Linked DNA regions of Macaca fascicularis. The protein of the gene in region 1 purifies or fractionates together with the protein of each later gene. This does not show direct contact. Links are inferred from orthologs where the notes say so. Each region holds a gene or a part of one and is shown on either strand. Other genes may lie near its edges.

Region 1 (4,090 bases):
TTTCATCCTCCTATTGATTGAAAAGAAAAGAAATTCACTATAATTAGCACATTTAAAACATAATAAAAGTTCACCATATTTTCAAGATCAGCCAGGCTGAGGGTAACTTATTTGAGGAAAAAATGAGAAAAATGATTAGAAGAAAATGCACCAAGAAGAATGGTTGTCTCAGAGGTGGTGGAATTATTCCTACTTCAGTTTAGTCTTCATTGTTTTCTATAAGCATACACTTTTCTCAATCTAACCCATAAACATATTCTTAAAAAGGGATCAGACACTGTGGTTTCTTCATCTTGCTTAAGTGATTTCTTAATCTTGCTTAATCCCAAACAATCTACTGGCCTATCGCACACTCGCCCCAGTCTGAGGGTAAGAAACCAAGGATTCATGAAGATGGAAGACTATCCAAGTAGACTGACTCCAAGGCTGCTGCTCTTTGTACTCTATCACAAGTTGCTAAGATTGTAAATTACCCTATGAAAATACTCCTTTTTTTTTTTAAATGCGCCAGCAACTTTTTAACATGTGAGGGAGTTTGGGGGAAACATGGTCTCTACTTTTAAGAACTGCATTCTAGGGCTGGGCGCGGTGGCTCAAGCCTGTAATCCCAGCACTTTGGGAGGCCGAGACGGGCGGATCACGAGGTCGGGAGATCGAGACCATCCTGGTTAATACGGTGAAACCCCGTCTCTACTAAAAAATACAAAAAACTAGCCGGGCGAGGTGGCGGGCGCCTGTAGTCCCAGCTACTGGGGAGGCTGAGGCAGGAGAATGGCGTAAACCCGGGAAGCGGAGCTTGCAGTGAGCTGAGATCCGGCCACTGCACTCCAGCCTGGGTGACAGAGCGAGACTCCGTCTCAAAAAAAAAAAAAAAAAAAAAAAAAGAACTGCATTCTAGTTAAGACAGAACATATCCATTGAAAATATACAAAAGATACAGATAGCAATGACCTTTATTAATAGGAAGGCAGAGTTGTAGCTGGAAGTAAAACCTGAGAAGAGCTTTCCAGGAGAGACCAGACTGAGACACAGAGGTGCTGGGGGAAGGACTTTAGTGGGCAATGGTACAATGACTGTTCCCTTTCTCTCATACTCTATATATCTATCCAATCCACCACAAAACCAAGATCCAGAACCCCAACTAGTTCTCATACCCTCTGTTCCTCTCCTGTCACCCTTTTTGGGGCCACCATATCTTTCCTAGATGATTACAGGAACCTCCTAACTGGTCTCCCTGATTCTCACTGGTATATAGGAAACACAGCAGATAGTCATCATCCTGTGACAACTGTGTCCAGTAGCCTGTGATGGTTGCCTGCTTCACTAGGAGGGAAAGCCAAGTCCACACAACAGCCTGTCTAACCCGGAGCCTTCTCCACCCTTCTCTTCTCCACTCTGTCTGTCCACTCACAATACTGGCTTTGTAGACCACTTTAGGCTCTCAATACTGGCTGTTCTCTCTGCCTGGAATGCTCTTCCCACTTACATCCCCATGGAAAAGTTCTCTATCTCTTTCAAGTCTTTGGTCCAGTGTCATCTTTCGAGTAAGGTTTTTAACATGGTGACCCGCCCTACCTCTAGCACTTTTAATACTTTTTCCTGTTTTAATTTTTCATAGTTTCTCACTTCCTAATATGCTGTGTTGTTTACTTCCTTACAATGTTTACTGCTCACTGCCTGTTTCCCCCAAGTAGAATATCAGCTCCCTAAAGGCAGGGTATCTTTGTCTGTCTTATTCACTGACAATGCCTGCAACAAAATGGGCACTCAACACACATCAGGTAAATGAATGAATGAACCAATCTATGGATAACGGGGACAAAAAGTTTAGAACACAGTGATTTGTATAAGAAATACTTTTCAGGGCACTGTGAGGAGAGGCAAATAGACTGTTAATGACCCGAAGTTTCCTTCTTAGCAAGCATTTTATTATCCCCCTACAACCTTCTGCTTATTCCAGAAAATCATTTTCAGCTAAAAAGATACTTTGGAGAGGCAGACGTAGCTTCAGATTATCAAACAAAACACTGACCAGTATCACAAAGAATTCCACTTCAACAAAATTGGTTTTAACAGAATTTTTACTGCCATAAGCCACTGTAAACTACCCTATTAAAATATTCCCTTTAAATAAATGTACCTTAAACTTGGAAAAACAGAATGTGTGACCCCTTTCCTTTACCTCTGCTTTAGGTTTTCTGTCTTCCTCCTCTTGACTGACAGTGCCACCATCTTCTTCAGCATCACTTTTCTGTTTCTCTTCTGAGACAAAAGTTAAACAACTGAGCAAAACCTGACTATTTTTGGTGATTACACATTAGCATTAGAACAAATCTCTAGATCTACAACACTTTTTTTTTTCTTGAGACGGAGTTTCGCTCTGTCAACCCAGGCTGGAGTGCAGTGGCGCGATCTCAGCTCACTGCAACCTCTGCCTCCAGGTTCAAGCGGTTCTCCTGCCTCAGCCTCCCAAGGAGCTGGGGCTACAGGCACCCGCCACCACGCCCGGCTAAATTTTTGTATTTTTAGAAGAGACGGGGTTTTACCGTGTTAGCCAGGATGGTTTCGATCTCCTGACCTCATGATCCACTCGCCTCAGCCTCCCAAAGTGCTGGAATTACAGGTGTGAACCACCGTGCCTGGTCAATAATTTTTTTTTTAAGAGACAGGATCTCGCTGGGTGTGGTGGCTCACGCCTGTAATCCCAACACTTTGGGAGGCCCAGGTGGGAGAATCGCTTGAATCCGGGAGGCAAAGGCTGCAGTGAACCAAGATCACACCACTGCACTCCAGCCTAGGCAACAGGGCCAGACCACATCAAATAAATAAATAAATAATAAATCAGCTGGGCATGTGGTCCCAGCTACTTGGGGACGGGGGAGGCTGAGGTAGGAGGATCACTTGAGCCTATAAGTTCGAGGCTGTGGTGAACTGTGATTGTGCCATTGCATTCCAACCTGAGTGACAGAGTGGGACCATGTCTTAAAAAATAAAAACAGAGGATGGGCGCAGTGGCTCACGTCTGTAATCCTGGCACTTTGGGAGGCCGAGGTGGGTGGATCATGAGGTCAGGAGATCGAGACCATCCTGGATAATGCGGCGAAACCCTGTCTTTACTAAAAATACAAAAAAGTTAGCCAGGCATAGTGGCGGGCGCCTATAGTCCCAGCTACTTGGGAGGCTGAGGCAGGAGAATGGTGTCAACCCAGGAGGCGGAGCGTGCAGTGAGCCGAGATCGCACCACTGCACTCCAGCCTGGGCAACAGAGCGAGACTTCATCTCAAAATAAATAAATACATACATACATACATACAAAATAAACATAAAAAAGAGAGAGAGAGGACCTCACTCTGTTGCTCAGCTGGAGTACAGTGGCACTATCCTGGCTGACTACAGCCTTAAACTCCTGGGCTCAAGCGATTTTCCTGCTGCAACCTCCCAAAGTGCTAGGATTACAGGCTTGAGCCACCATGCCTGGCTAAAAACAATCTTTAACTTGACTGTAAAGGTTTAACGACATCGTAGGGTCTTGGCTTAAAGCAGATTTTCTGGACTCTATTTCTTACCAAGTTTCTCTTCTCCTTCCTCCTCCTCATCTCCCTTGTCCTTTTCCTCTTCCTTCTCTTCTTCCTCTTCCTTCACATCCGGCTGAGGTGCATCAGTTTTCTTATACTCCATAGCACTGGTCTGTTTCTGAAATGTTCCCCAAAGTACAATTTTGTTTACATGTTCAGGTATTATGTTATATAATTCCTGAATGCCTACAGGCAAAGTTCTGTTCCAGGCTGTATACAGGGATAGATATATAAAAACGAATAAGATGTAATTCCTACCCTGAAGAGCATGTGTGCACATGCGTGTTTCAAGGTAGAATAAAAACAAAAGGGCCAGACAGGAAAATACGGGTCAAAAAAGGTGACTGCGGCACAGATACAAAGAATAGTGTCAGAGGATAAGGCTGGAAAAGGAACTTGGGATCCAGTTACAAAGTGCTATGAATGCCAGATGAAGCATAATCCTCATTTAGTAGAAGTAGAGGGCCAAAATAAGACTTCCTTTTTTTATGATAGCACATGCAAAAAAGGCTAGA
Region 2 (4,856 bases), on another chromosome or scaffold:
TTTATCTCACCTTGGGTTTCTCCCCAGCCAGTGACATAACATTCAGTCTGGTTGGCGACCACATAATTTGGGGATGGCAGACAAACTGGGATGACTTTGTCAGCGATGATGGCAGAACTGAAAGAAAAGCATCAGCAGTTAGGTTTGACTGCCCTGCTGGAAGTTGCAACACCCACAACCAGGCATCCCTTCTTTGAGGCCCCAGAGCCCTCTGAGCTGGCACTGCCTTGCTTCACTGACACAGAACAACGTAGAACATAGCGTTTCACTCTCACATTTGCCTGTGGTTGCCTACGGACTACACAGATATAAGATTTCATTTGAAAGGCATCAGTTGCATACAAGAAATTGCTGGTGGCCTTCACCTTTGAAAGTAGAGATGACAAAGGCACACTTCTCATGTATATTCTGTGCACAACTGGAATCTCACGCAGAGTGCATCCTTTTCCATTAATTGAATAGGGCATTGATCAGTACACAGAATGTCTGACTGAGACGCCACCAAGAGGCTGTAAAACTGCAAATGCATTTGTGTGCCCAGAGCAACTTGCTCCATCCTTGGATCCTCCATTTCCTCCTCAGTGAATGTTACTACACCATGGTTGTAAGAACCCAGTAAAATACTTGATACTAAATGAAAGTGTGAACATTGAGATGAATGTTTTCAAAGCTGCAACATGTATGGGGAGTCATGCAAACTGGTTCTGTTATTGGGAATGAAGTCTGTCACTGACTGCTTGACTTGAGCCCAGCCCAGGGGACACGGAGCAGAGTGCTGTATACCATGGAGTGAATCGGGCCATGGACGTGTAACACAAGACCAGCTGAGAGTCTGAATGTTATTCTGGGGCACATGTGAGTCTAGGACTGGTGCCAAGAGCATGTAAATAAACCACAAGCAAATATTGAAGGTGGACCACTTGTTTTTCATTGCTAATTGGCTGCCCAATTTTTAAACAGTCTACAGCACACACTGTCACATGGGAATGATGTTTTACAGTGACACATATTTAGAAGGGAGAGAAAGGATAAATATACATTTTTTACAATTTAAAATTTTCACTATTACCAAACAAAAATATCCACTCAAAATACAACTCAACAATGCAGCAGTCATCTAACAGCAAAGAAATGCAGAGAAAAGCAAAACCGCAGGTGACTATGAATAAAGGGTGAATGTAGTCTCAAATCCTCAAAGAGCTGTGTTTATTTCATTGATTCAGTGAATGAATAATTCATTCAATGAATGAAATGGATAAATACTCGTATTCAATTCTGATGTGCTTTAAGGATGAATATGCTCATTTTACACTTAGCACAGACTTTTGTGTATATTGTCCCCTGTCCTCTTTATAGAAAGTTTCTTCCTCACTGTTAAAGTTTCCCTTTGGTACCAATTTTCCCTGTCCACACAAAGTATTTCATTTAAAAAATCTCAGCATAAAATATACACTGAAAAGAGTCTGAAAGTACTATGTGAGCTCTGGCATCTCCATTGAGCTCACTGTTCCCCTGCAGTTGTTCTTTCCCCAGTAGCTGTTCCTTATTCTTCTTTCTTTGTGGAACCTCTCCCTGTGCATACACAGCTTTGTATTTAGCCAGAGACTTGAGGACTAATTTTTTTTTTTTTTTTTTTTTTCTCTGAGATGAAGTCTCACTCTTGTCGCCCAGGCTGGAGTGCAATGGCACAATCTTGGCTCACTGCAACCTTCATCTCCCGGATTCAAGCGATTCTCCTGCCTCAGGCGATCTGCCCATCTTGGCCTCCCAAAGTGCTGGGATTACAGGAGTGAGCCACTGCACCAGGCCTACTGCTTCTTTAAATAAGGGACATAAAATTTAAAGAGAAAATAGGAAGTACCTTCCCCCACTATAACTTATGAAGTAAGAAGCTAATTGATCATGTGGTAAAAAGGAACCAAATAAAAACTGTGTCTCAAAATATTAGGAGCACTGCTTCAGTGAAATCAGTTAAAGTAAATGCCCATATTAGTCATCCATTGATACACATACTTATTTTCCTAAGGGAATTCTCCACAATTCTGAAAATCAGTGAAAAGATCATCTCATGTTACTTCTACACAAAACCAAGCAGCGCATGTGGCTCTCCATGTTTCAGGGCATACGCATCCCTTTCCACCGGGGATCAATGTGCCCTGTGGAAAGCAACTTCTTGCCTTTTAAACTAAATTCAGTAAACAAAAATTGTTTTGTATAGCTGACATAGGATCACATCAATTGCACGAAAAAGATCAGTCTGTGGAAGGAACTTACAACGTTGAATGAGGCACGTTAAGAAGGCGTAACCCATCACATTGGCTTTTCTGCTGTTCCAATTTTTTTCTGGTCAAAAATACAGGTGCTAAGACTCCCTGAGTCCAGCAGATGTTAGAACAGAGAAAAGCAGAGGGCAGCCTCCTACAAAACATCTCCTACTCCTGCCAGTTTCTAATCCAGGGTCCAGGAGCTGGGGCATCCGGGCTCCCCGTGCCTGCTGTTGGAAACGGAAATGCCCTCCCTCAAACCCCACTTCTCTCAGGGGCTCCGACCCACCTACCTGAGGGTCAGTCCGGGAGCCAGCGTCTGGACAGAGCGGGGTCGCGCCCTGGAACACAGGGCAGGCGAGGAAGGAGAAAAGCCCAGCTGGCAGCGCAGGGGCGAGCGTCCTACCTTTCCCAGCGGCCTTGGCCTGACCACCCCAGCCCTGCGGGAGGGAGTCCGCCCACCCGCGCCCCCTCCATGTCTCCGCCCGTTCCCGCGCCCGGTGACCGCGCCCCCGCCTGCTGTCCCTTGCCACCGCCTCGTGTCCCTCAGACCGCGCCTCCGCCTGCTGTCCCTTGCCACCGCCTCGTGTCCCTCAGACCGCGCCTCCGCGGAGCGCAGGCGGCCTCGGTCCGGCCCCGCCTTGGACCCTCGCGCGCGCTCCAGAAGCATCAGTGTCCTCCGGGCGGTCACGGGCCTGCTGCGGCTCCCACCCTGGCGCCCCTGTGTTGCTCTCCCCACTCTCAGCCTCACGCCCCCCACTACTACCACCTCGTATTTTGCAGCCTCAGGACATGAACCGTCTGCTGGCTGAAGTCGCTTGGGCAGGTTTCTGGAGCCGGACACTCCCTCCCACCTGAGGCATGGACAAAGTGTGGGGTCTGCTGCCCCCTGCCGCCCCGGCTGACGTTCGCTCCTGTTTGCACGCTGCCCAGCAATGTTCCAACTGGAACATTTCAAAGGCAAGGCTGAGAATAAATGCTGTTTACAAATTCCAGAAAAGAAAAAAAAAGAAAAAACAATGTTGCTCTTCTGCTTAGCAATAGGTTTTCCCAGCCAAGCCAGCACTTCTGTGGGTTGTATTTAAGTCTTAAGTGCGTCAGAGCTGTTGCCTGCAGGCGCTGGTATTGTCCAATGGGGGAAGTTTGAGGACAGTGTCTCTGAAAACTCCAGGCTTTTGGATGAAGCAACCATTCCACATTAGGTATGTAACATAAGGACCTAGCAGAGGTCTCCTACGATTTACCCATCATGCAAAAGGACTGAGTCTCTGCAAAACAGGACTTTCAAAGAACCTTTTTCAGGAGAAGAGAATGTTGCAAGAGCTGATTCCTTGCCTATTTGTTTTTGACTTCACATCTAAACTGATAAAGGTATTTATGGGTATGGACAACAAATAATGAAAGGGATCAAAATAGGAATGTTTCATTCAGTTTAACCTGGCCCATGCAGTGCACTTCAGGTCCTAGACTCTGGTTTGAACTCTGCGATTTCTACCATTCCTTGGCTTTGTTTGTTTCATTGCTTGGACTTTCAGACTGATCAGAGTTCTGTGAATACAGTAGGTGCTCGATAAATGCTTATTCTGGGTACTACCATTGATGCCTGTGGCAGCGACTGCAGATGAGCAGGCTCCTGCAGCAGTGAGGCGTAGGGCTGGAGGGCCTGGCTCTGGCATCCAACCCTGCTCCATCTGCCACAGAAGCTGTGTGACTTTGGGGAAGCTATGAACCTCTGCTGAACTCTCAGTAAGATGAGAGTGTTAGTAATAGCACCTCCCTCATAGAGTCCGAGTGAGGAGTAAATCAAATAACCTGTGTAAAAGACCTACTTTGGTGCCTCGTATATGTGAAAACTACTCATGGGACAGGGGACTAGTATCCAGAATATACAAAGAAGTCAAACATCTCAACAGCAAAAAACCAACCCAATTAAAATATGGGCAAATGACCTGAGTAGACATGTCTCAAAGAAGACATACAAATGTCCAGTAAATGAATGAAAATGTGCTCAACATCACTAATCCTCAGAGAAATGCAAACCTAAACCACAATGAGCTACTATATCACCCCAGTAAGGATGGCTGTTATCAAAAAGACAAAAAAATAGCATGCTCGTGAGGATGCAGAAAAAAAGGGAAATTTCCTACACAGCAGGAATTTAAACTAGCGCAATCACTCTGGAGAACAGTATGGAGGTTCCTTAAAAAACTACAAATAGAAGTACCATATGATCCAGCAATCTCACTACTGGGCATTTATCCAACAGAATGTAAATCATTATATCAAAGAGTCATCTGAAGCCCCAGGTTCATTGCAGCTCTGTTCACAATAATCAAGACATGGAATCAACCTAGTTGTCTGACCACCAATGAATGGATAAAGAAAATGTGGTACACACATATCATGGAATACTATTCAGCCATAAAAAATAATGGAATCTTGTCATTCACAGTAACATGGGTGAAGTTAGAGGACATTATGTTAAATAAGCCAGGAACAGAAAGTTTAGCACTGCATGTTCTCACTCATATATGGCAGCTAAAACAAGTTGAACACAGGAAGTAAAAAGTAGGACAGAAGATACTAGAGGCT
Region 3 (4,090 bases), on another chromosome or scaffold:
GCAGCTCTTAAAAAAGAGAGAGAGAGTGCTGGGTACGGTGGCTCACGCCTGTAGTCCCAGCACTTTGGGAGGCCGAGGTGGGCAGATCACTTGAGGTCAGGAGTTCGAGACCAGCCTGACCTCTAGTAAAAATGCAGAATTAGCTGGGCGTGGTGGCTCATGCCTGTAATCCCAGCTACTGGGAAGGCTGAGGCGGGAGAATCACTTGAACCTGGGAGGCGGAGCAGAGGTTGCAGTTAGCTGAGATCCCTTCATTGCATTCCAGCCTGTACAACAAGAGCGAAACTCCATCTCAAGAAAAAAAAAAAAAAGAGAGAGAGAGAGAACTTGAGTCTACTAAGTGACAGCTGGAGATGGGCTAGGTAATAAGTTGGTGTCACTGTCTGGTGAATGACCCTGTCTTGTAGGAAATAACAAACTGAGTATAGACCCAGTCAACTTTGATTTGGATGAGAGGGATTTGTATTTGCACAGTGTTTCAGCATTTCTTGGTTTTGGTTTTTTGAGCCAACTTTATGGAATTGTGTGCTTTTGCAGAAATTACTGTGAAGTTCCTTTTGACCTTGAGCCTCTTTCTGGCAGTTTCATGTCTGTTAGTGTTGTTTCCAAATATGATGGAAACCATATGATGATTTTTATGCTTGGCATTCCTTTGGTACTATGGAATGCCCTGGCATCAGTAGGTTTAGCCTATAAGGAGGGTAGCACCAATAATTCTGCTTCATTGTCCCCAGGCTTGCTTGGTAGGACTTGAGAGCTCCCTGAGCCTCAAGGGAAATTGTCTGGCTTACTTCATTCCCTGGAAAGTTAGCTTATGCTTTATACTGTTAATCATGGTGACTGTTATTACCATGTGCCAGCTATTATGTTAAGCATTTTACATTCATTATCTCCCTTAAGACAATAAGCCTCTGAGGTAAGTATTATAGTCTCTCTCTTATAGAGGAAGACATCAAAGTTCAGAGGTTAGGTAACTTGCCCAAGATCACAGTTAAGTAGTGGCAGAATTGGAATTCAGACCCAATGGGTCTGACTATTATAGAGTTCCTGCTCTTAACCACTCTTCTATAAGTCTAAGACTATTTTTATTTCTCTAATAACTCTTCAGTCTCCATTTCTATTATGTCTTCTTGGGGCAGGATCACTCACTTGGAGCCTTATAGCTGGGACACTGATGCTCAAAATACCAGGAGCTGCCGGAATGGGTATTGTAATATGTATGCTAGATACTGCTCCTCGTGACCTTGGCTGCCTTTCCTTCATCCGCGCTCTCTGGTCTAGGGACAGCTTCATCTATTCACTGTTTGTTTCCTAAGTATGAGTTTTAGAGACTGGTGAGGCCCTTGGGGCGGGAGTATCTACTGGGACTGACTCCATTTCCTGCTTCTAGTTCAAAAGGTGATGACCTATCAACAGCCATTCTCAAACAGAAGAACCGTCCCAATCGGTTAATTGTTGATGAAGCCATCAATGAGGACAACAGTGTGGTGTCCTTGTCCCAGGTAAGCTGGGGCCACAAACTAGTCTTTCCTTACTGCACTTACTTGAGGGATTTGCCCAGGTTTCTTTTCTCATTTTGCAGATATTTCTATTTGCAGACTGCAGATAGAGTGGGGTTTACTGGGAATCCCAATCTCGAGGGCTGTTGCTTACTCCCCTTCTGCCCAGTGACCCAAAGGCCTTAACTTTCTTTCCTCAGCCCAAGATGGATGAATTGCAGTTGTTCCGAGGTGACACAGTGTTGCTGAAAGGAAAGAAGAGACGAGAAGCTGTTTGCATCGTCCTTTCTGATGACACTTGTTCTGATGAGAAGATTCGGATGAATAGAGTTGTTCGGAATAACCTTCGTGTACGCCTAGGGGATGTCATCAGGTGTGTGGGGTTTTTGGCTCCACAGGGATGGGAGGCCAGAGATAGCCTGCATTACAGGCAGTACCCATGTATTACAGGCAGGACCAAGTTCTTGGAACCTGTCGATGCAGGAAGCCTGCTGGTCATGGGAAGACTTATGCTTCAGGATTGTCTTTAGGTTTTGGTTCTGCCTTCCTGGGACTTCAAAATCCATTTCTGCAGGTCGCTTGAGACAAATTGGCATTCCTGTAACTTTCTTGGTGCCTTTATTTTTTCCTACTAGAAGTGTAATTTATCATACTTATAGCCTAGCTTAGGATACCACTCGAGGGTGTGTATGTATCTGCCAAATAACCTCCTCACTACTCTCACTAGTATGTCCAATTAATGGCTTGCGTTGGGGTTGGAATGAGGTGGGGATATGGACATGGAAGGTGAGCTGCTAGCAGGCCTTTTAAGCCCCTAAGTGAACCCGGGAGAGAGGAATAGTTGGAGCCAGACCCAGGATAGTTCTCAATGTGAGTGATTTTGCTTGTTCTTGCATAATTTTAGGCAAGAGGTTGCCCCATCTTGGAGTCATCTCTAGCCACTCTTACCCAACCAACCATCACCTGGCCAGGATCATCTCAGGCTTTTGATTCTTTTTGATGGAGTCTAAGTTTCATGTAGCTTTCTTCTTGGGGGTGCTTAGTCACTTCCTCAAGGTGTTCTGAACACCTGGCTGAGATAATTTTGTTTTTTTCACTTCTGTTTCACTGACCCTGACAGTTGTTAGCTTAAGACCTTCCCTTGTAATATTGGGTCACCAATATTAGCTAGAAGGGGATCATCCTTGGATATCTCACTGAAGACCTTGCATATCTTTGTGGGGTTTCTAAATGTGTGGCTCTTGATTTTGGCTCACTGATTAGAAGTGAGTGGGGCTGTTCCTTTGCCCTCACTTCCACGGTGTTCTCCTTCCTCTCTTCACCTAAAGCCATCCTGCCTTTTCTTTTTCACTTACTATCAGCTATCTGTGCCAGGCCCTTTTGGACACCCAGTGCTTGGGCCCGAAGTGTGGTTGGTAATATGGAGTCTGCTTGTCATCCTCAGCATCCAGCCATGCCCTGATGTGAAGTACGGCAAACGTATCCACGTGCTGCCCATTGATGACACGGTGGAAGGCATTACTGGTAATCTCTTTGAGGTATACCTTAAGCCGTACTTCCTGGAAGCTTATCGACCCATCCGGAAAGGTGAGAGCTAATTCTGAGTTTAAGGATTATTGACTGTAGTTAATAAACCTTGGAACATCTTCGTCTCGTTTTCTTTCTTTTTTTTTTAATCTTTTATGCTTTTCTCCTGTATTTATTTATTTATTTTTTAAGAGATGGGGTCAGCTGGGCACCGTGGCTCACACCTATAACCCCAGCGATTTGGGAGGCTGAGGCGGGTGGATCACTTGAGGCCAGGAGTTCGAGACCAGCCTGGCCAACATGGCAAAACCGCATTGTGGGCACCTGTAATCCCAACGACCTGAGGGGCTGAGGCACAAGAATTGCTTGAACCCAAGAGGTGGAGGTTGCAGTGAGCCAAGACCAGGCCACTGTACTCCAGCCTGGGTGACAGAGCAAGACTCTGTCTCAAAAAAAAAAAAGAAATGGGGTCTCACTATGATGCCCACGCTGGTCTCAAACTGCTGGGCTCAAGTGACCCACCTGCCATGGCCTCCCAAAGTGCTGGGATTACAGGCATGAGCCGTCATGCCTAGTCTCATTTTCTTTTCTTTTTTTTTTATTTGAGACAGAGTCTCACTCTGTCCCCCAGGCTGGAGTGCAATGGTCCAATCTCAGCTCACTGCAACCTCCTCCTCCTGGGTTCAAGCAGTTCTCCTGCCTCAGCCTCCTGAGTAGCTGGGCTTATAGGCGTCTGCCACCACGCTCCGCTAATTTTTGTATTTTTAGTAGAGATGGGGTGTCACTGTGTTGGTCATGCTGGTCTTGAACTCGACCTCAGGTGAGCCACCGTGCCTGGCCGCTAGACTCATTTTCATATATTTGTATACACATGCATGCAAACCTTGCACACATATTCATATGTCTTACCCTGCTCCTTTCCTCCATCCTTCCCTGGCTCCCATCTCTCCCCTTCTCTGTTCCGGGAGAGTAAGCTATCTTTATGGATCTCTGAAGGAGAAGGTGGTCCATTTTGGCTGGGTCAGGGTCCAGAGTGCACAGTTCTATCATTGGTGGTTGTAGTG
Region 4 (4,570 bases), on another chromosome or scaffold:
ACTCTACTAACAAATACAAAAAAAAATTAGCCAGGCGTGGTGGCGGGCGCCTGTACTCCCAGCTACTCGGGAGGCTGAGGCAGGAGAATGGCCTGAACCCGGGAGGCGGACCTTGCACAGTGAGCCGGGATCACGCCACTGCACTCCAGTCTGGGCAACAGAGCAAGACTCCATCTCAAAAAAAAAAAAAAAAAAAGAAGCTGAGGCAAGAGGATCCCTTAAGGCCTGGAGTTCATGACCAGCCTGACGAAAACAGGGAGACTCTGTCTTTACAAATATATATATTTTTGTAGAAATGGGGTCTCCATATGTTGCCCACCCTGGTCTCAAATTCCTTGACTCAAGCAATCTGCCTGCTTTGGCCTCCTAAAGTGCTAGGATTACAGGCGTGAGCCACAATGCTCGGCCAACCCCATCATTTTAAGAAGCTGAGGCAAGAGGGTCCCTTAAGGCCAGGAGTTCATGACCAACCTAACCAACACAGAGAGACTCCATCTTTACAAAAGATGGGAGTCGTTTTTTTTTTTTTTTTTGTAGGAATGGGGTCTCCATAGGTTGCCCATGCTGGTCTCAAATTCCCTGACTCAAGCAATCTGCCTGACTTGGCCTCCTAAAGTGCTGGGATTACAGGCATGAGCCACCTCTCCACTGGCCACATGCTTAAATCACCTCCTCCAAGAGGCCACACTCCATCTTGCCACTGCTGCCCTCTCTGCTTTGAACCTTTCTTCTTCCCCATCTTGAAAAAAAATGAGTAACTACTCTTCCTCATCATTAAAGCCTTAGCCTTACTATCACTGTTACCAGAACCATTTTCCTGACACCCCTGACCGGGTTAGGCGCCCCTACTATGCCCTCTCTGATTCACACATTCAACAAATATTAATTGGGTGTCTGCCATGTGCCAGTCACTGTTCTCAATTCTGGGATACAGCAGTGAATAAGATGATAAAGTCCCAGGTGGTTATGGAGTTTATGTTGTAGTGGGGGTGGTAGACAAAAACAAACAAACAAACAAACAAAAAACCAGATAATTTCAGGTGATAGCTAAGAAGAAAAATAAAGTGGGCCAGACACGGTGGTTCACGCCTGTAATCCCAGCGCTTTGGGAGGCCGAGGTGGGCAGATCACTTGAGGTCAGGAGTTCAAGACCAGCTTGGACAACATGATGAAACCCTGTCTCTACTAAAAGTACAAAAATTAGCTGGGCCTGGTGGCGCCTGCCTGTATTGTTACTCAGGAGGCTGAGGCAGAATTGCTTGAATCCAGAAGGCGGAGGCTGCAGTGAGCCGTGATCACACCACTGCACTCCAGTCTAGGTGACAGAGCAAGACCCCTGTCTCAAAAAAAGAAAGAAAGAAAGAAAACAAAGAAAAATAAAGTGAAAGTGTAGAAAGTCCTGGAGCAATGTGAGTGAGACAGACAGCAGTAAAAAGAGACCTTGGAGAAGGAAGCTGGAGGCCAGATCATGTAGGTCTTGGTGGCCACAGTAATCTGAATTATGTTCTAAGATGGAAATTCACTGTAGAACTTGGTGCAGGAGAAGTGACAAGATCAGAAGTGTATTTTTATTATTTTATTTATTTACTTATTTTGAGACAGAGTCTCACTCTGTCACCCAGGCTGGAGTGCAGTGGCACCGTGATCTCGGCTCACTGCAACTTCCACTTCCTGGGTTCAAGTGATTCTCCTGCCTCAGCCTCCCAAGTAGCTGGGATTAAAGGCGCACACCACCATGCCCGGCTAATTTTTGTATTTTTGGTAGAGACGGGGTTTCACCATGATGGCCAGGCTTCTCTCAAACTCCTGACCTCAGGTGATCCACTTGCCTTAGCCTCCCAAAGTGCTGGGATTACAGGCTTGTGACACCGCACTTGGCCCAGATGTGTATTTTTAAATGATCACGTTAGCTGCTGCTTAGAAATCAGACCGTAGAAGGTGAGTGTGGAGGGATACCAGCATCCAATTACTCCTGCCATGGATTTGCCAGGGTTTTCATCCCTTCCTTCAGCACACCCCACTCTTCCCCACCACTTAGCCTAGTTAACACTTATTCTTTCAGAATTCAGCCCGGATGTAACTTTCTCTAAGAACCTCGCCCCAGGCGGCCCCAACCCCACACCTCCTGTAACACAAACTCTTGGCCTTCACATCTTTGTCACTACCACCCCTCTCGCCGCGCCTTTTTTGAGACAGTGTCTTGCTCTATCGCTCAGGCTGGTCTCGAAATCTGGGCCTCATGCGGTCCTCCCGACTTGGACTCCCGAGTAGCTCCTTTGTCGCTCTTATCACTGTTGTGATTAATTGTACAAATGGCTTAATGGCAGTTATAGCACCCAGTTCATCAAAAACAATGGCCTGATCGTCAGCAGGCAGGGTAGCGACCAGTCCATCCTGGCACCCATCTGCAGCTCCAGTGTGCATCCCAACCCCGGCGCTCGTAGCCGCGCTCCGTGAATGTTTGTCACATGTCTGAAGAATGCATGAATTATATAATCTTCTTCCCACTCCACCCCTCAAAAAGCAAGTGGATATAAGGACTTGAAGATTTTATAATCTCTTCTTCATTAGTAAAATTTGACCATCCTTACCGTTAAAAATAATAATGATGGTTGGCCGGGCGCGGTGGCTCACGCCTATAATCACAGCACTTTGGGAGGCCAAGGCGGGCGGATCACGAGGTCAGGAACTGGAGACCAGCCTGACCAACATGGTGAAACCCCGTCTCTACCAAAAGATACAAAAAAGTAGCCGTAGGTGGTGGGGGGTGCCTATAATCCCACGTACTTGGGAGGCTGAGGTAGGAGAATGGCTTGAACCCGGGAGGTGGAGGTTGCAGTGAGCCAAGAAGGCGCCGTTGCACTGCAGCCTGGGCGACACGGCGAGACTCCGTCAAAAAAAAAAAAAAAAAAAATTAATAATAATGGTGAAAAAGGTTAAGTGGGAACGCAGGGAGGGGACAGCTAAGATCCAAAGGTCGAAATATTCATTACGCCTACCGTCGGCGAAGAGAAACAGCAGCCCCAACCGGAGGCAAAAGGAAATCCCACCACAGGCTGCAAAGGCGCGTGGGCGGGACTGGAGACTGGGGCCGCGCGCAGTAAAACGCGGAAGACAGAATGTAGCCCCACCACCCGCAGCCGCGACAAAAGCACCCCTGCGGAGGGGGGGCGGGGCCTCGCTTGGAAAAGAGACGGTCTCTCGTCCAGAGGCGGGACTCAGAGCCCTTTCACAAGTCTCATTGGTCAAGTTGAAGACGGACAACTCTCGCTGGCCAGCCGTAGCCCAGATGGGGCGCAAGCGTATTTGGAAAGGGAGAGGGCCCAGAACGCGAGAACTACACATGCGTGTCGGCGATTTCTTGCCTCCGTGGTGGATGGGGCGATTGAATTCCCACAGCGAGTTCAGCCCACCGAAGTTCAGAGGATTCGTAACCTTCCTCTTTAGAGAGCCTCAGGTTAGGGAACTTCCAATGCCCAGAAGCTGCCCCGTGGGAATCCCAGTGTCCGCCGCCTCCTAATATTTCGTCCTGGCTGTGCCCCAGCCCTTCCTGAGGCTGGGTTGTTATGATGGTGAATTATTCAAGAAGTCTTGCAGCCTGACGCCATCTCTGGGCAGTGCTCCTGCATCCTCCCTGTCTTCCTTGTAGGGCACCACGTTGCTCCTAAAGCACAGGGTCCTGAAGCTGTTTACAAGGCCCCACCCTGCCACGTTAGTATCTTAACGAGTGTTTGTTGAGGACATACTGAGTGTTAGAGCCAGTGCAATGAGCAAGTCCCTGATCTTGGGACCTTAACATTCTATGGGACAACACAAATATATAAACAAAAAATAATGTTAGATAGTGATACATGCTCAAACCATGACTATGTGGCCAGGCGCGGTGGGTCACACCTGTAATCCCAGCACTTTGGGAGACCGAGGCAGGCAGATTACTTGAGGTCAGGAGTTTGAGACCAGCCTGGCCAACATAGTGAAACCCTATCTCTAGTAAAAATACAAAACTTAGCTGGGCGGGCGTGGGGACGGGTGCCTGTAATCCCAGCTACTCGGGAGGCTGAGTCAGGAGAATTGCTTGAACCCAGGAGGTGGAAGATTGCAGTGAACCCAAATCACACCACTGCACTCCAGCCTGGGTAACAGAGCAAGACCCTGTTTCAAAAAAAGACAAAACCGGCCGGGCGCGGTGGCTCAAGCCTGTAATCCCAGCACTTTGGGAGGCCGAGACGGGCGGATCACGAGGTCAGGAGATCGAGACCATCCTGGCTAACATGGTGAAACCCCGTCTCTACTAAAAAATACAAAAAATTAGCCGGGCGAGGCGGCGGGCGCCTGTAGTCCCAGCTACTCGGGAGGCTGAGGCAGGAGAATGGCGTGAACCCGGGAGGCGGAGCTTGCAGTGAGCTGAGATCCGGCCACTGCACTCCAGCCTGGGCGACAGAGTGAGACTCCGTCTCAAAAAAAAAAAAAGACAAAACCAAACAAAAAAACATGGCTATGTGATAGAATGACTGGGATGGGGATTGGGTGCTTACTGAAATGGTAAGAATGGAGCTAAAACCTGACATTA
Region 5 (4,090 bases), about 86 Mb from region 1:
GTTGCTTTCCTTTCTTTTGAACAGTCACTAAAGGAAATCCTTTCTGCAGGGTCCAGGTTTTCATCATTCTCTTTACATCTAGTGTTTGGTTTGTGACCTATAAAATGTATATACATAAAACTCTTTTTCCTTAAAAATAAAAATTGGTTTAAAAAAATTTAATTTTAATTTATCTGTACGCTTCCCTCTTTTCCTACCACCTATAAAGAATACATTTAATGTTAACATAAAAAAGAAACAGGAATGTTGAATTTACACCTCTAATCTAGGTAAATGAGCAACTGCTAAAAGGAATGTAACCTGGAACAGAGCTAAGTGATAGCTAAGGGAGTGAGGGAGGCACTAGGTTGAGAAGTCGCACATGTATCAACCAACTAAGAGTTCATTAAAATCCCTAAATTCATCAATATTAAAATCCCTAAGAAGGTATAAGTATTCTTTCAAATCACAATACTATCATCTAGAAGATACGAATAATGATATAAGTCTACAATCAGAATCATTGCTACTCAATGCTGTGAATCACCTGAGTCTGGGTTTCTCTTTATGCTCCTACCCTCCACCTCCATAATGATAGTCTCTTAGGACCTAATACTGTGGGAGTGCCAGGGAACAGCGGCAGCAGCAGAAGAATGACATATGAACAGGTCAGTTGCCTTAAGTCTTTCTCAAAAACAGAGGTAAACTACTTTGGTGGTCACAGACCTTCTTTCCCAGAAAATATATGAAGTTATCTATAAAATCTAGAACCTAGTGTCAGAGCTTTGCAGACCCTCTAAGGCCCAAAGCCCCTAAGACATCTAGTATCAATAAATAAGAAGCAATTTTTGAACAACAGCCTCTTTAAAGCAGGTGGTTAAACTTAGGATTCAAATTATTTTTCTAGTTTATATATGAATTTGAATTGTAAGCAACAAAGTCATGATGTACCTAAATTGATAAAATCACTCTACTACAGCAGGCCTTACCTCAATCACCATATGCCCATTTATTTATAGCACAAAAGGATGGAGCAAATCTTCCCATTTTAATTAATCTTATATTTATCATGGCCCTAACCTATTTATTTCTGAACCAGAGAATTAGAAGAAAATAAGCTTGCCTAAAATCAAGATGCTTTTGGGTGTCGAAGCAGTATTGAAGTGAAGAAGCCAATGCATAATTTGATGTGGATGCTGAAAAACCTGAGGATACTGTTAGGAACTAGTTTGGGAAAGAAAAACACCATGATGCAAAAGTTGCAGTCAATGAGAAAGGCAGAAATATGTTCTAAATGCCAACAGATAAGAGGGTAAGTATAAAGTAAACAATGTGGCTTTCAAATGAAATGCTACTATATCAGAGGAATAAAACCATGATTTGGGAACAACTGTTAGGTAATAAGTTCTCAAAGAGAATTCAGAGAGTAGGGAAGATATATCTTCTGGGCAAAAGATTAACAGTTAGAAAATATCAGGATTCAGATGAGGCAAAGAAGCAGAAAGAATGTATGAGAAAGATCCAGAGTAGGGGTTCCTAACCTAGAGTCAATAAAACTTTGAAACTCTGTGTGATGTTCTGCACATATGTGGTTTTTCTGAGTAATATGGCCAGAACTTTCATCAAATTTCCAAATAAGTCTGCGATCTGATCTTTCCTTTTTTTTTTTTTTTTTTTTGAGACAGTCTTGCTCTCTCACCCAGGCTGGAGTGCAATGGTGCAGTCTTGGCTCACTGCAACCTCTGCTTCCCAGATTCAAATGATTCTCCTGCCTCAGCCTCCCAAGTAGCTGATAATACAGGTGCGTGCCACCACGTTGGCTAATTTTTCTGTTTTTAGTGAAGGCGGGGTTTCACCATATTGGCCAGGCTGGTCTCGAAACTCCTGATCTCATGATCTGCCTGTCTTGGCCTCCTAAAGTGCTGGGATTACAGGCGTGAGCCACCACGCCCAGTCAAGTCTGTAATCTTTTAAAGCATTACGACCCATCAATCTAAATCAGGGTAACAAACGCAAATGCTTATAAGGGTTTTGCAGTCAGCATACATGCATGAAGCAGCCCGGGTTCATGTGCTGCTTTGAAGTGTAACTTCTACATAATTACATTTTTTGCTAGAATATTTCCAGGAATGACAAAATTCCAACAGCAAAACCATCCAAGTGTAATATGCAGTCAGCTTGTGAAGTATCATCTACTCTGGAGGAACAGTCACAAAGGCAAGAGATTCACAGAGCAGAGTACAGAATCATTCAAAGGAGGCAGAAAAACTAAAAAAGGGTAAGGATAGGAAAAGAAATTTTTGAAAAAAAAAGTCAAATAATAAAAATATAGTAATATTCATTAATATGGAGAAGACAACTTTCCTACAAAATAGGAATAGAAATTAAGGTACAGAAAAAACAAACAAACAAACAAAAAACTGGCTACCCAAGTCCACACACATTTTTTCCAACAACTAAGAACAGCATTCTCATTTCTTGACATAAAATTCAGTGCTCCATTCATAAATATTTATATAGCAAGCTCCATCCCCCTCTTTCTTAAATAACTATGCTTTGTACCACAGATTAACTTAACACACATACTAAAGAGTATAAATAGACGAACTCGTCTCTTTTTACTGAGCTAAATAAATTACCCAGGTCACTTACCTCATTAAAACTATCCCACAGATCATCACTCTGAATGGATGCATAGCTGTGATTATGCAGGTAAAGGACAACAGCATGTTGAAACACATCTTCACTAAGGTAAGTTTTCAGCATCAACAAGAGAGAAGCTCCCTACTCCAAAAAAAGGTGAGGAAAAAGAAAATAATAGAATACTATAGATTATCAAATTGGGAATCTAAAATTCAAACTATAGTCATTCTAAAAATTTACTTCCATATGTAGAACTTAGTTATAATACACTGCTACTTAGTCTGCTATAACTAGATGTGGACTGTGTTCAACTATCTTAACATTGTTTTAAAGGATTTGAAAAAGAATTAATGAGTAGATTCCCATGTGCACTATTCTAACCAGGAGCCAGTCCGTGTGGTCTATTGGTATACTCACTGTTTCGGTGTTAGTGTTGAAAAGCTAAGTATTTATAAATACATTTTAATAGAAAAACATGGCAAATTTTCTGTGGCATCCACACTTCCATCCCCAGTGCTTAAATTACCCATTGAATTCATGAGCACACACTACTGGAGACACAATAAATTGGCAAGGCTCTCAAAAGACTCCCTTTTAGGTATGTCATTAATTTCTTATTTTAGTATATTGTGTTGCGAAGTAACCAGAATCTCTTTTCTTCCTGCAGAGTCACTTCAAATGCTTGGAACTAACAAATGTATAGGGCAGCAAGCATACTATTAAGGTCACACTACATCCATTGATATACATGTCATCCTTCCCAATCCTGAAATAAGCACCACCTCCTCTGTGAAGCCCTTCCTGGTTTGAAATAGAAATCACATTTCTCCATCTTCAATACAGTTTATTTGGCATCCTGTATCTGTTACACATTTATTTCCTCATCTACACTGTAAGCTAACTGAGAGGAAAAAGTGAAAACTCAACTCCAATGACTAAAACAATGCCCACTACATGGTAGGCACTCTAGTAGTTTTTGAATGAATTTCACTTTTGATTAAAATGTAGTAATGTCAAGATTATTGTACAAATACTAAATTATTACCTATTACTCATTTCTATATCACGCTTCATAGCTATTACTTGTTCTATAAATGTAAGTACTCGTTGTTGTCCCCAACAGTCCTTTCTCTTCTGCATCACCAACTTTCCCCTCCATACTGTAACATGCCCATTAACAAAACAAAAACGACGTAACATTCCTAATTTTAAACAAATGAAAGGCTCTCTACCTTTCCCTAACTTCACCTTCCTCCGGTTATGGTGCTATTTTTTTGTAGTAAAACTCCCCAAAGGGGTTGTCCTCAATTTGCCATCCCCATTTGCTCTCTTTCCATGTTCTCTTGAGCCATCTTCTAATCATCACTCTACTGGAAGTATTTTTTATTTTTATTTTTTGAGATGAAGTCTCACTCTTGTCACCCAGGCTGGAGTGCAATGGCGCGATCTCCGCTCACTACAACCTCCG
Region 6 (4,090 bases), on another chromosome or scaffold:
TAAACTTCACTCAAAAGAGAAATGCAAATTAAAACTACACTAAGATTCAATTTCTCACCCATCAGAATGACAAAATTTTAAAAGCCTAATACTATACTCTGTTGATGAGGATGTGGGGAACAGACTGTCTCATAAATCATTGGCAGGAATACAAACAATCCCTACGGAGGAACACAGGTAATAATTTCAATCCAATAATCCCACTTCCAGGAATTTACCATGAAGACTCGCCTTCCAACAATACAAATATATATACGACACAGCTAACTGTACATTGCTGCATTATTTATAATTCAAGCTACTGGAAACTACCAAAATGTCCAAACATAGAGAATGGTTGAATAAACTCTGGTACATACATAAAATACAGTACCATACAGTTGTTTTTTTTTAAAAAAAAAAAAAGAGAGAGAGAGAGAGAAATATCTCCAGAATATTTTAAGTATAGAAAGCAAAGAATGAAGGAAGATATACACTAAACTACCTTTTGTGTAAAAAAATGGAAATTACAAAACATACATCTGCTCATCTTATTAAAAACACAGGAAGGATAAACCAGAAAACGATGAAATTGGTACCCTATAGAGGTAGGGGGCAGTTAGAATGAAAGGGCTAAGATAACAGGTTACATGAGAGTAAACCCTTATGTAATTCTGACTTTGTGAAGTGTATTAATATCCCCCTATCAAAAAATGCAATTATATCAACAAAGATAGTGGGAAAAAAAACTAAAACTGAAAGCATATGGAAACAAATGAATCCAACTGTATTTCAAATGAATGAAATAATCACACTGAAAGATCAGAAAAAAAGAACTAATCCAAGTAACTTATGAATACAGTATTGAGTACACACCCTTGTCTGGGAGCAGAGGAGAGGAAGAGGAAGGACTGAAAACAAATCCTAAGCCATTTTTAGTAAGTTGGTTTGGGGGTGGAGACAATGGTATGAATGGAACACTTCTGAAATTATTTTAAATAATTGTAGGATTAAGCAAATGAGAAAATGTGTTATTGATAGAAGTCAGGATTCTAACTGTGGAAGAAAGGAGATAAAATATAGAGTAGAAGAAAGCAAAGAAGAGCCTTGGAAGAATGGCCTGGAATTAGAGAATCAGGTGTGAACACATAACATCATGTGTGCATGCTTATACTTCCTAGCTCTGCCACTGAGAAAGCTCAGAAGCAATGAGACCATGGTAGCAATAAACATGCTTAACATCCAGAGCCTACTAAAGGGAAGCAGAGCTCCTTTGACAGATGACTAATTTCAAGGGTAGGGCAGGGAAAGTATAAAATAAACCTGGAATATTTTGTTGGAACAGAAAATAAAGGAGGTACTCAAAAAAAGTCATGAGCACATGTCAAAGGGGCACAAGAAGTAGCCACTGGGGCTCCCAGTGTCCATATCAGGAACAACTTTAGCATCAACATAATTAGAAGGAAATAATGAATTATAAATCACTGGAGAAAATAAGTATCAAAGGGTTCATACTGATTATATAAACGTCAATATATGTGCAAAAGGGAGAGCTCTTCCTTACAGATGCATGCCAAGTGTCAAATGATGTATGTGGAAGGAATGCTAGTATTGAACAATCATCAATTTGCAAATAACATAGTGAAGATTGTTTTGAGCAAGAACCAACAACAGATGCTAAATCTTGTAGGAAAATTTTAATGAGAAGCAGAATATTTACATGATTTTAAAAGGTTCTCCCCATAGGCTGCTTATAAAAGGAAAAATAACTACACTGTGGAGAAAATTAACGACATTTTGACTGACTGATCAAAATCAACATCACCAGCAAGGGGCAGACAAAGGGGACTATGACTATGAGAGCCTGAGAAGGACATCTCACCACCTATAGAGTATTCTGAGCAGATATGTATATCCTGAATCTAATTGTAAGGAAGCATTAGGCCAAAATGAAGAACATTCTAAGAAAAAAAAAGGGGTGAAGAGGCTCTATTGTCGAAATATGCCAATGTCATATAAGACAAAGACTGAGAAACTGTTCTAGTTCAAAGAGAGTAAAGCCATATGGATGGCAGATTAATGTATTCCATCAGTATTAAATTTTCTAGCTTGATATATGTACTGTGGTTAATAAGAGAATGTCCTTTAATTAGTTTTAAAAAAAAACCGAAGTTTTTAGGGGTAAAAGACCTTAATGTATGCAACTTACAATCAAATTTAAGTTTTCTGAAAAAACAACTACATTGTTTTCAGAAAAAAAAGTAGAGAGAGAATCAATGACAAAGCAAATAAGGCAAAATGTTAGTAACAGATGAGGCTGAGGGTGTATAAAAATTCTTTGTACTATTTTTGTAAACTAACCATTAGCTTGAAAGTATTTTCAAACACAAAGTTAAAAAAACAGAAAAGGCAAATCTTACATTTCTTAGTGCTTCATAAACAGCTCTAAATGCTGGTTGCTTATCGTCATGGTAAACACCTCTGTTCCCATGAAGAATAAAGATTCCTTCTTCTTCTGCTTCTTGGCAATTGCTTCCATATATACAATGATCTGGTCGATAATTCCATTGACACGGAAAAACAAAAAGGCTTTCTACATAAAGAAAAGACCAGACAATGAAGCAAATACCCCTAATTCCACAAATGTAACATTATGCAAAACTTTTAGTTAAAAAATACAGCTCTTACAAGTAAGAATTAATGAGAAATGTTCGGCATTTAGATCTCTTCCAATTAAAGCAAAATTCAAGAAAAGTTTTACTCTGTCTTAAACATAAATAGCAATAATCATTAATATAAGACAGAATCAGATAAGTGCATGTTTTCCTTTTTCACTCAGTATTATCTGTGATTTTTTAATGCAAATAAAAGGAATTTAGATAATTACCTGGATTATGAAAAAACACAATATTCAATAGATCTTGATCACCCCATGTGATGTTCAGTTTGTATTTTTTAAGCAGTGGCATAAGTATATCTCCCCATTGTAGTCGTACAGTTGTCATATCATTCTGTTGATAAAAACATTCAAAAGATATTACAGTAACCCACAGTAACCATTACAAAGCCACAAAGAGAAATGCAAACTCCTCACAATATCAAGTGACATTTCCAACCCTAAATGTGAGAAGGGCTCTCCAGTAAAAGAGAAGATAACAAAAGGAAGTTGTATGTGGCAGTGATAAAACTAGTAAGTCAGGAAAGAAAGCAAAAGTAACTGTGTCCTTATCTTAAAATGAAGATAGTTTTGGTACCTATGTCTGTGCCTACGTCAGAGTTGTTGATGATTAAAACTGTTAACATGTAAATTTAAAGTGCTTGGAATAGCACCTGACACATGGTAAATATTCAGTGTTAGCTATTATTATTTTTTTACCATGATGGCTATTATTCTCAGATTGATTTGCTTAACTTTTATAATTGGCAGTTCAAATAGATCATTCTGAAATTGATAAATCAAGTTAAAAAATGCATACATAACTAAAGTTAAACACTAAAAAACAGTATGATTGACAAAAATCAAGGCTGCAGAGGGAGTGGGGAAGATGAACAAAGCAGCAGAAATTTATGAGCTTTGTGTCTACTTGTAGTAAAAAATTCTCATAGAGAACTGGCCTTTTTATGATGGATTTTCCTATCCAAAAACATAATATGTCTTCCTACTTATTTAAGTGTTCATTTATCTTATTACATTTAAAAAATATATATATGTGTGTGTATATACATATATACTGCCAATTTCTTTCAAGTTTGTTCCTATGTATACTATCTCTTTTGAGAGGATTCCATTTTATCTTCTAAAAGGTTGCTACTTGTACATTAGAAAATGCACGCAAAGAATTCTGTAAAGAGGCACCATGAATGACATACAAAGTCAAAGAAGATTTGCTAAGGAAAATAACTGGGTCCAGTCTAGCAGATGTATGTAGTCCCATAAACTCTCACCGTCCCAGAGGGAGGCAAGTTAGGACTGGCATCTTTGGCAATATTACGACTGCACTCCAAGAAAGAGACCCTAGTCTCCTGATGCCTCTCATACTATTGAAGAGCTAACAGATTCACCCAACCCATTTTAATGACTGTAAGCTTTCCTATCAGAATTACAACCCTG
Region 7 (4,090 bases), on another chromosome or scaffold:
CATGGCAGCCTGAGTGGACTCACACAGTTCCCATTGTATCTTTTATAGCTGTTAATTTTGAACCGGGTTCTAATCAATGCTCACCCTTGCTTCTGTTTATGTCTCTTGTAAGTCTCCATTCAATCCAGCATCCCTCTAAATACGACCACTTTGTGAAGAGATCAGGCCTGTGATCTTGTGGGATGTTCCAATTCCGGATTTGTCAGAGTGTTTCTCTGTGGTATTCTTTGTTACTCTATCCCAGTTTAAACTCTCTTTGCTTTCCAGTGGGACTGCTATAGTAATGTTCTCTTCGGATCTCTTTGCCCTGAAGGTCTCCCCTAACTTTATGACATTCTCCTTAGTTATGCAAAAGTTATCTTCTTGTATCAGGTCATTTATCTGCTAAAAACCTTTGTGCGTCCTCACTTCTTTTTTTTGTTTTTAACATTAAAATTTTATTTTTTTTCCTGACATTTAAGTTCAGAGGTACATGTGCAGGATGTGCAGGTTTGTTACATAGGTAAATGTGTGCCATGGTGGTTTGCTGCTCAGATCATCCCATTACCTAAGCATTAAGCTCAGCATCCATTAGCTATTCTTCCTGATGCTCTCCCTCTCCCCACCTCCTATCCACTGACAGGCCCCAGTGTGTGTTGTTCCCCTCCATGTGTCTATGTGTTCTCATCATTCAGCTCCCACTTATAAGTGAGAACATGTGGTGCTTAGTTTTCTGTTCCTGCGCTAGTTTGCTGAGGATAATGGCTTCCAGCTCCATCCATGTCCCTGCAAAGGACATGATCTTGTTCCTTTTTATGGCTGCATAGTATTCCATAGTGTATATGTATCACATTTTCTTTATCCTGTCTATCGTTGATGGGCATTTGGGTTGATTCCATGTCTTTGTTGTTGTGAATAGTGATCCTCACTTCTTTTTTTTTTTTTTTTAAAAGACGGAGTCTCGCTCTGTCGCCAGGCTGGAGTGCAACTGCATGATCTTGGCTCACTGCAATCTCTGCCTCCCAGGTTCAAGTGATTCCCCTGCCTCAGCCTCCCTAGTAGCTGGGACTACATGCGCGTACCACCACACCTGGCTAAATTTTTGTATTTTAGTGGAGACGGGGTTTCACCATGTTGGCTAGTATGGTCTCGATCTCCTGACCTCGTGATCAGCCTGCCTCGGGATTACAGGTGTGAGCCACTGCGCCTGGCCAATCCTCACTTATAATAGAATAAGTGCAAACTCCTTATTACATACGGCATTCTAGCCCCTCCTGAACCTTCTGTGATTTCCTCTACTGCACTCCACCACCTGGTCAAATCAATATAGGGAGCTACGAGACAGGGAATTAACCAAGAAAGGGTGCCTCCCTTTTCACTGTCTCTTCCTGCAGCCAGCCAGATAGCCTTTTCTCTGACTTATTTGGGCTTAAAAGCTTTATTCTGGGTACCTTACCTAGTCCCACAAGGTACATTCTTCACCTCATCTGTCTGGAGTGTGGTCTGGAAACAGAGGAAACATAAAGTGCTAGAGATGGGCAGTGACAAAGTAACTTACGTTTCAGAATCCTAAATGCCTTTGTCCTGGAATAACCATTTGGGTTGAGCATTGCCTTCATTAAACATGATTACCCCACCTAATCCTCCTTCCTCATAGGGTTGCTAAGCCAAGCAAAGGCCCCTGCCCCAGCTGTAAGTAAACCACCACACAAACAAACTGAGTAATAATGGTTTAGTGAAGACGACACTGGATTGGGCACCTTAAGACTTATGCTTGCTTCTACCTCTTCTATTTATGGTAGGCACTGTCTATCCCCTCAGGGGGATATGTTCCAAGACCCCCAGTGGATGCTTGAAACTGGGGAGAGTACCAAACCCTATAGCACATACCTATGATAAAGTTTAATTTATAAATTAGATATAGTAAGTGATCAACAATAATAAAATAGAACAATTATAACAATATACCATCATAAAAGTTATTTGAAGGTGGTCTCTTTCTCAAAATATCTTATTGTACTCTAGTCACCTGTTTTCAGACCATGGTTTATTGTGGGTAACTGAGCCTGTGGAAGGTGAAATAATGGATAAGGGGGAGGGCTACTGTACTAGTTTTGAAACAGCAGATTACTTACTTAACCTGTCTCAGACCCTAACAGCTGCCCAGCCCATTCTCAGGATTACTACAAGACTCAAATGAGACAATGTACCTGAATGCACTTTGAACGCCACAAAGCCTGGTAAACAGCACACAAAACTTACAGGGAAAATGCCTAGCAGGTATCCCAAGACATTCTCCTGCATCAGTGTAAAGTGTAAAATCTTGTTATTCTTCTTGGCTGGACATACTTCAGAGATGGCGAATCTAACTTAGCCAGGCTTTTGATCTGCCACAACTAACCTCACTCCTATTTTAGATGTCACCTCCCCTCACTTAGTTCAACTCCTCCCCACTCACTGCAAAAATTATGTTCATATTTCTGAATTCAAATAAGAATCAGCAAAATTACTATGTTTTCTTTCCATCTAACATGGTAGCTTGTGATTTAAAACATACACACATACACCCCGACTTTTCCTTCCATATACTCAAAACAGGTTCTTCTCTGGCTTTATCTTGAAGGAATAATCCCCAGCCTCATTATATATATAAAAAATATATTTATATATATAACATATATATATATAAAAATTATCCTTATATTGTTCTCTAGAATGGCATTTTACTCATTCAATGGCTAAATAATTTCAAATCATGCACTAGTTAACATCCCAAATTTGCAGTCATCCAATCATACCACAGAGGACAAGCATACCTGCACAGACTTATATGATGTGATGAAAGGCAGCATGAGATGGAAACCAGGGCCGCTGGTCGAAGTCAGCAGGGCACCACCTCTGCAGAGGAGGGGGAGAGACAGGCAGCTTCAGTTTGGCAAGAAGGCTCTATTAGATCAATATCATGAGGGTCAACTTTCCCTTTAGCCCTATAAACACATAATAGAGAGTGACATGTGCTGGAGCCATGGCCACAGATCCCTTTCTTCCTCTCAGCTAGATCCTAATATTCTAGGAAGCCTGATGATAAAACATAAAACCACTGTTCATGCTTTTGCAATGAGAAAAATAGGCACACAGGCTAAATGGAATAAAGACAGCAGAGGCTGGGCGCGGTGGCTCAAGCCTGTAATCCCAGCACTCTGGGAGGCCGAGGCGGGCGGATCACGAGGTCAGGAGATCGGGACCATCCTGGCTAACACGGTGAAACCCCGTCTCTACTAAAAAAAATACAAAAAACTAGCCGAGCGAGGTGGCGGGCGCCTGTAGTCCCAGCTATTCGGGAGGCTGAGGCAGGAGAATGGCGTAAACCCGGGAGGCGGAGCTTGCAGTGAGCTGAGATCCGGCCACTGCACTCCAGCCCGGGCGACAGAGCGAGACTCCGTCTCAAAAAAAAAAAAAAAAAAAAAGAAAAGACAGCAGAATCCGCTAGTGCAGTCCCAGCGCTTTGAGGGGCTGAGGTGAGAGGATTGCATGAGCTCAGGAGTTTGAGACCAACCTGTCTCAAACAGTGAGACCCTGTCTCTACAAAAAAAGAAAAGGAAAAAAATTAGCTGAGTGTGGTGGTTACATGCCTATAGTCCCAGCTACTTGGGAGACTGAGATGTAAGAATTGCTTGAGCCTGGGAGGTTGAGGCTGTAGTGAGCCATAATTGTGCCACTGCACTCCAGCTTGGGCAACAAAGTGAGACTCTGTCTTAAAAAAAAAAAAAAAAAAAAAAGACAGCGGAATCCATGGGTATACTTAGATAACAGGCACTCTGGCCAGGCGCAGTGGCTCACGCCTGTAATCTTTGGGAAGCCGAGGTGGGTAGATTACGAGGTCAGGAGTTCAAGGCCAGGCTGGCCAACATGGTGAAACCCCGTCTCTACTAAAAATACAAAAATTAGCCAGGCATGGTGGCAGGTGCCTGTAATCCCAGCTACTTGGTAGGCTGAGGCAGAGAATTGCTTGAACCCAGGAGGCGAAGGTTGCAGCGAGCTGATATCTTGCCACTGCACTCTAGCCTGGGCAACAGAGCCAGGCTGAGTCTCAGAAAAAAAAAAAAAAGAA

What was found.
Region 2: the proteins of CANX (region 1) and LPA purify together in Homo sapiens (affinity purification with western blotting; 3 studies listed by BioGRID). This does not show direct contact. The link is inferred for Macaca fascicularis from reciprocal best matches to the Homo sapiens genes CANX and LPA.
Region 3: the proteins of CANX (region 1) and VCP purify together in Homo sapiens (affinity purification with mass spectrometry; 4 studies listed by BioGRID, with this or other methods). This does not show direct contact. The link is inferred for Macaca fascicularis from reciprocal best matches to the Homo sapiens genes CANX and VCP.
Region 4: the proteins of CANX (region 1) and GBA1 purify together in Homo sapiens (affinity purification with mass spectrometry; 3 studies listed by BioGRID and IntAct, with this or other methods). This does not show direct contact. The link is inferred for Macaca fascicularis from reciprocal best matches to the Homo sapiens genes CANX and GBA1.
Region 5: the proteins of CANX (region 1) and LNPEP purify together in Homo sapiens (affinity purification with mass spectrometry; 3 studies listed by BioGRID and IntAct, with this or other methods). This does not show direct contact. The link is inferred for Macaca fascicularis from reciprocal best matches to the Homo sapiens genes CANX and LNPEP.
Region 6: the proteins of CANX (region 1) and GXYLT1 purify together in Homo sapiens (affinity purification with mass spectrometry; 3 studies listed by BioGRID and IntAct, counting the BioPlex papers as one, with this or other methods). This does not show direct contact. The link is inferred for Macaca fascicularis from reciprocal best matches to the Homo sapiens genes CANX and GXYLT1.
Region 7: the proteins of CANX (region 1) and ERLIN2 purify together in Homo sapiens (affinity purification with mass spectrometry; 4 studies listed by BioGRID and IntAct, with this or other methods). This does not show direct contact. The link is inferred for Macaca fascicularis from reciprocal best matches to the Homo sapiens genes CANX and ERLIN2.

Annotation. Positions count from the first base shown.
Region 1 is NC_088380.1:186,599,457-186,603,546, reverse strand, and holds part of CANX (calnexin), read right to left. Parts: intron 3,694-4,090; coding exon 3,567-3,693; intron 2,263-3,566; coding exon 2,183-2,262; intron 11-2,182; coding exon 1-10. UniProt on the Homo sapiens protein: Calcium-binding protein that interacts with newly synthesized monoglucosylated glycoproteins in the endoplasmic reticulum. It may act in assisting protein assembly and/or in the retention within the ER of unassembled protein subunits.
Region 2 is NC_088378.1:10,362,249-10,367,104, reverse strand, and holds the start of LPA (apolipoprotein(a)), read right to left. Parts: upstream 2,946-4,856; 5' UTR 2,935-2,945; coding exon 2,558-2,934; intron 118-2,557; coding exon 11-117; intron 1-10. UniProt on the Homo sapiens protein: Apo(a) is the main constituent of lipoprotein(a) (Lp(a)). It has serine proteinase activity and is able of autoproteolysis. Inhibits tissue-type plasminogen activator 1. Lp(a) may be a ligand for megalin/Gp 330.
Region 3 is NC_088389.1:64,363,284-64,367,373, forward strand, and holds part of VCP (transitional endoplasmic reticulum ATPase), read left to right. Parts: intron 1-1,390; coding exon 1,391-1,502; intron 1,503-1,699; coding exon 1,700-1,872; intron 1,873-2,943; coding exon 2,944-3,086; intron 3,087-4,090. UniProt on the Homo sapiens protein: Necessary for the fragmentation of Golgi stacks during mitosis and for their reassembly after mitosis. Involved in the formation of the transitional endoplasmic reticulum (tER).
Region 4 is NC_088375.1:105,886,734-105,891,303, reverse strand, and holds the start of GBA1 (lysosomal acid glucosylceramidase), read right to left. Parts: upstream 3,160-4,570; 5' UTR 3,000-3,159; intron 1-2,999. UniProt on the Homo sapiens protein: Glucosylceramidase that catalyzes, within the lysosomal compartment, the hydrolysis of glucosylceramides/GlcCers (such as beta-D-glucosyl-(1<->1')-N-acylsphing-4-enine) into free ceramides (such as N-acylsphing-4-enine) and glucose.
Region 5 is NC_088380.1:100,992,185-100,996,274, reverse strand, and holds part of LNPEP (leucyl-cystinyl aminopeptidase), read right to left. Parts: intron 2,764-4,090; coding exon 2,632-2,763; intron 98-2,631; coding exon 1-97. UniProt on the Homo sapiens protein: Release of an N-terminal amino acid, cleaves before cysteine, leucine as well as other amino acids. Degrades peptide hormones such as oxytocin, vasopressin and angiotensin III, and plays a role in maintaining homeostasis during pregnancy.
Region 6 is NC_088385.1:48,670,391-48,674,480, forward strand, and holds part of GXYLT1 (glucoside xylosyltransferase 1), read right to left. Parts: intron 2,991-4,090; coding exon 2,867-2,990; intron 2,573-2,866; coding exon 2,400-2,572; intron 1-2,399. UniProt on the Homo sapiens protein: Glycosyltransferase which elongates the O-linked glucose attached to EGF-like repeats in the extracellular domain of Notch proteins by catalyzing the addition of xylose.
Region 7 is NC_088382.1:41,113,937-41,118,026, reverse strand, and holds part of ERLIN2 (erlin-2), read right to left. Parts: intron 2,878-4,090; coding exon 2,796-2,877; intron 1,483-2,795; coding exon 1,436-1,482; intron 1-1,435. UniProt on the Homo sapiens protein: Component of the ERLIN1/ERLIN2 complex which mediates the endoplasmic reticulum-associated degradation (ERAD) of inositol 1,4,5-trisphosphate receptors (IP3Rs) such as ITPR1.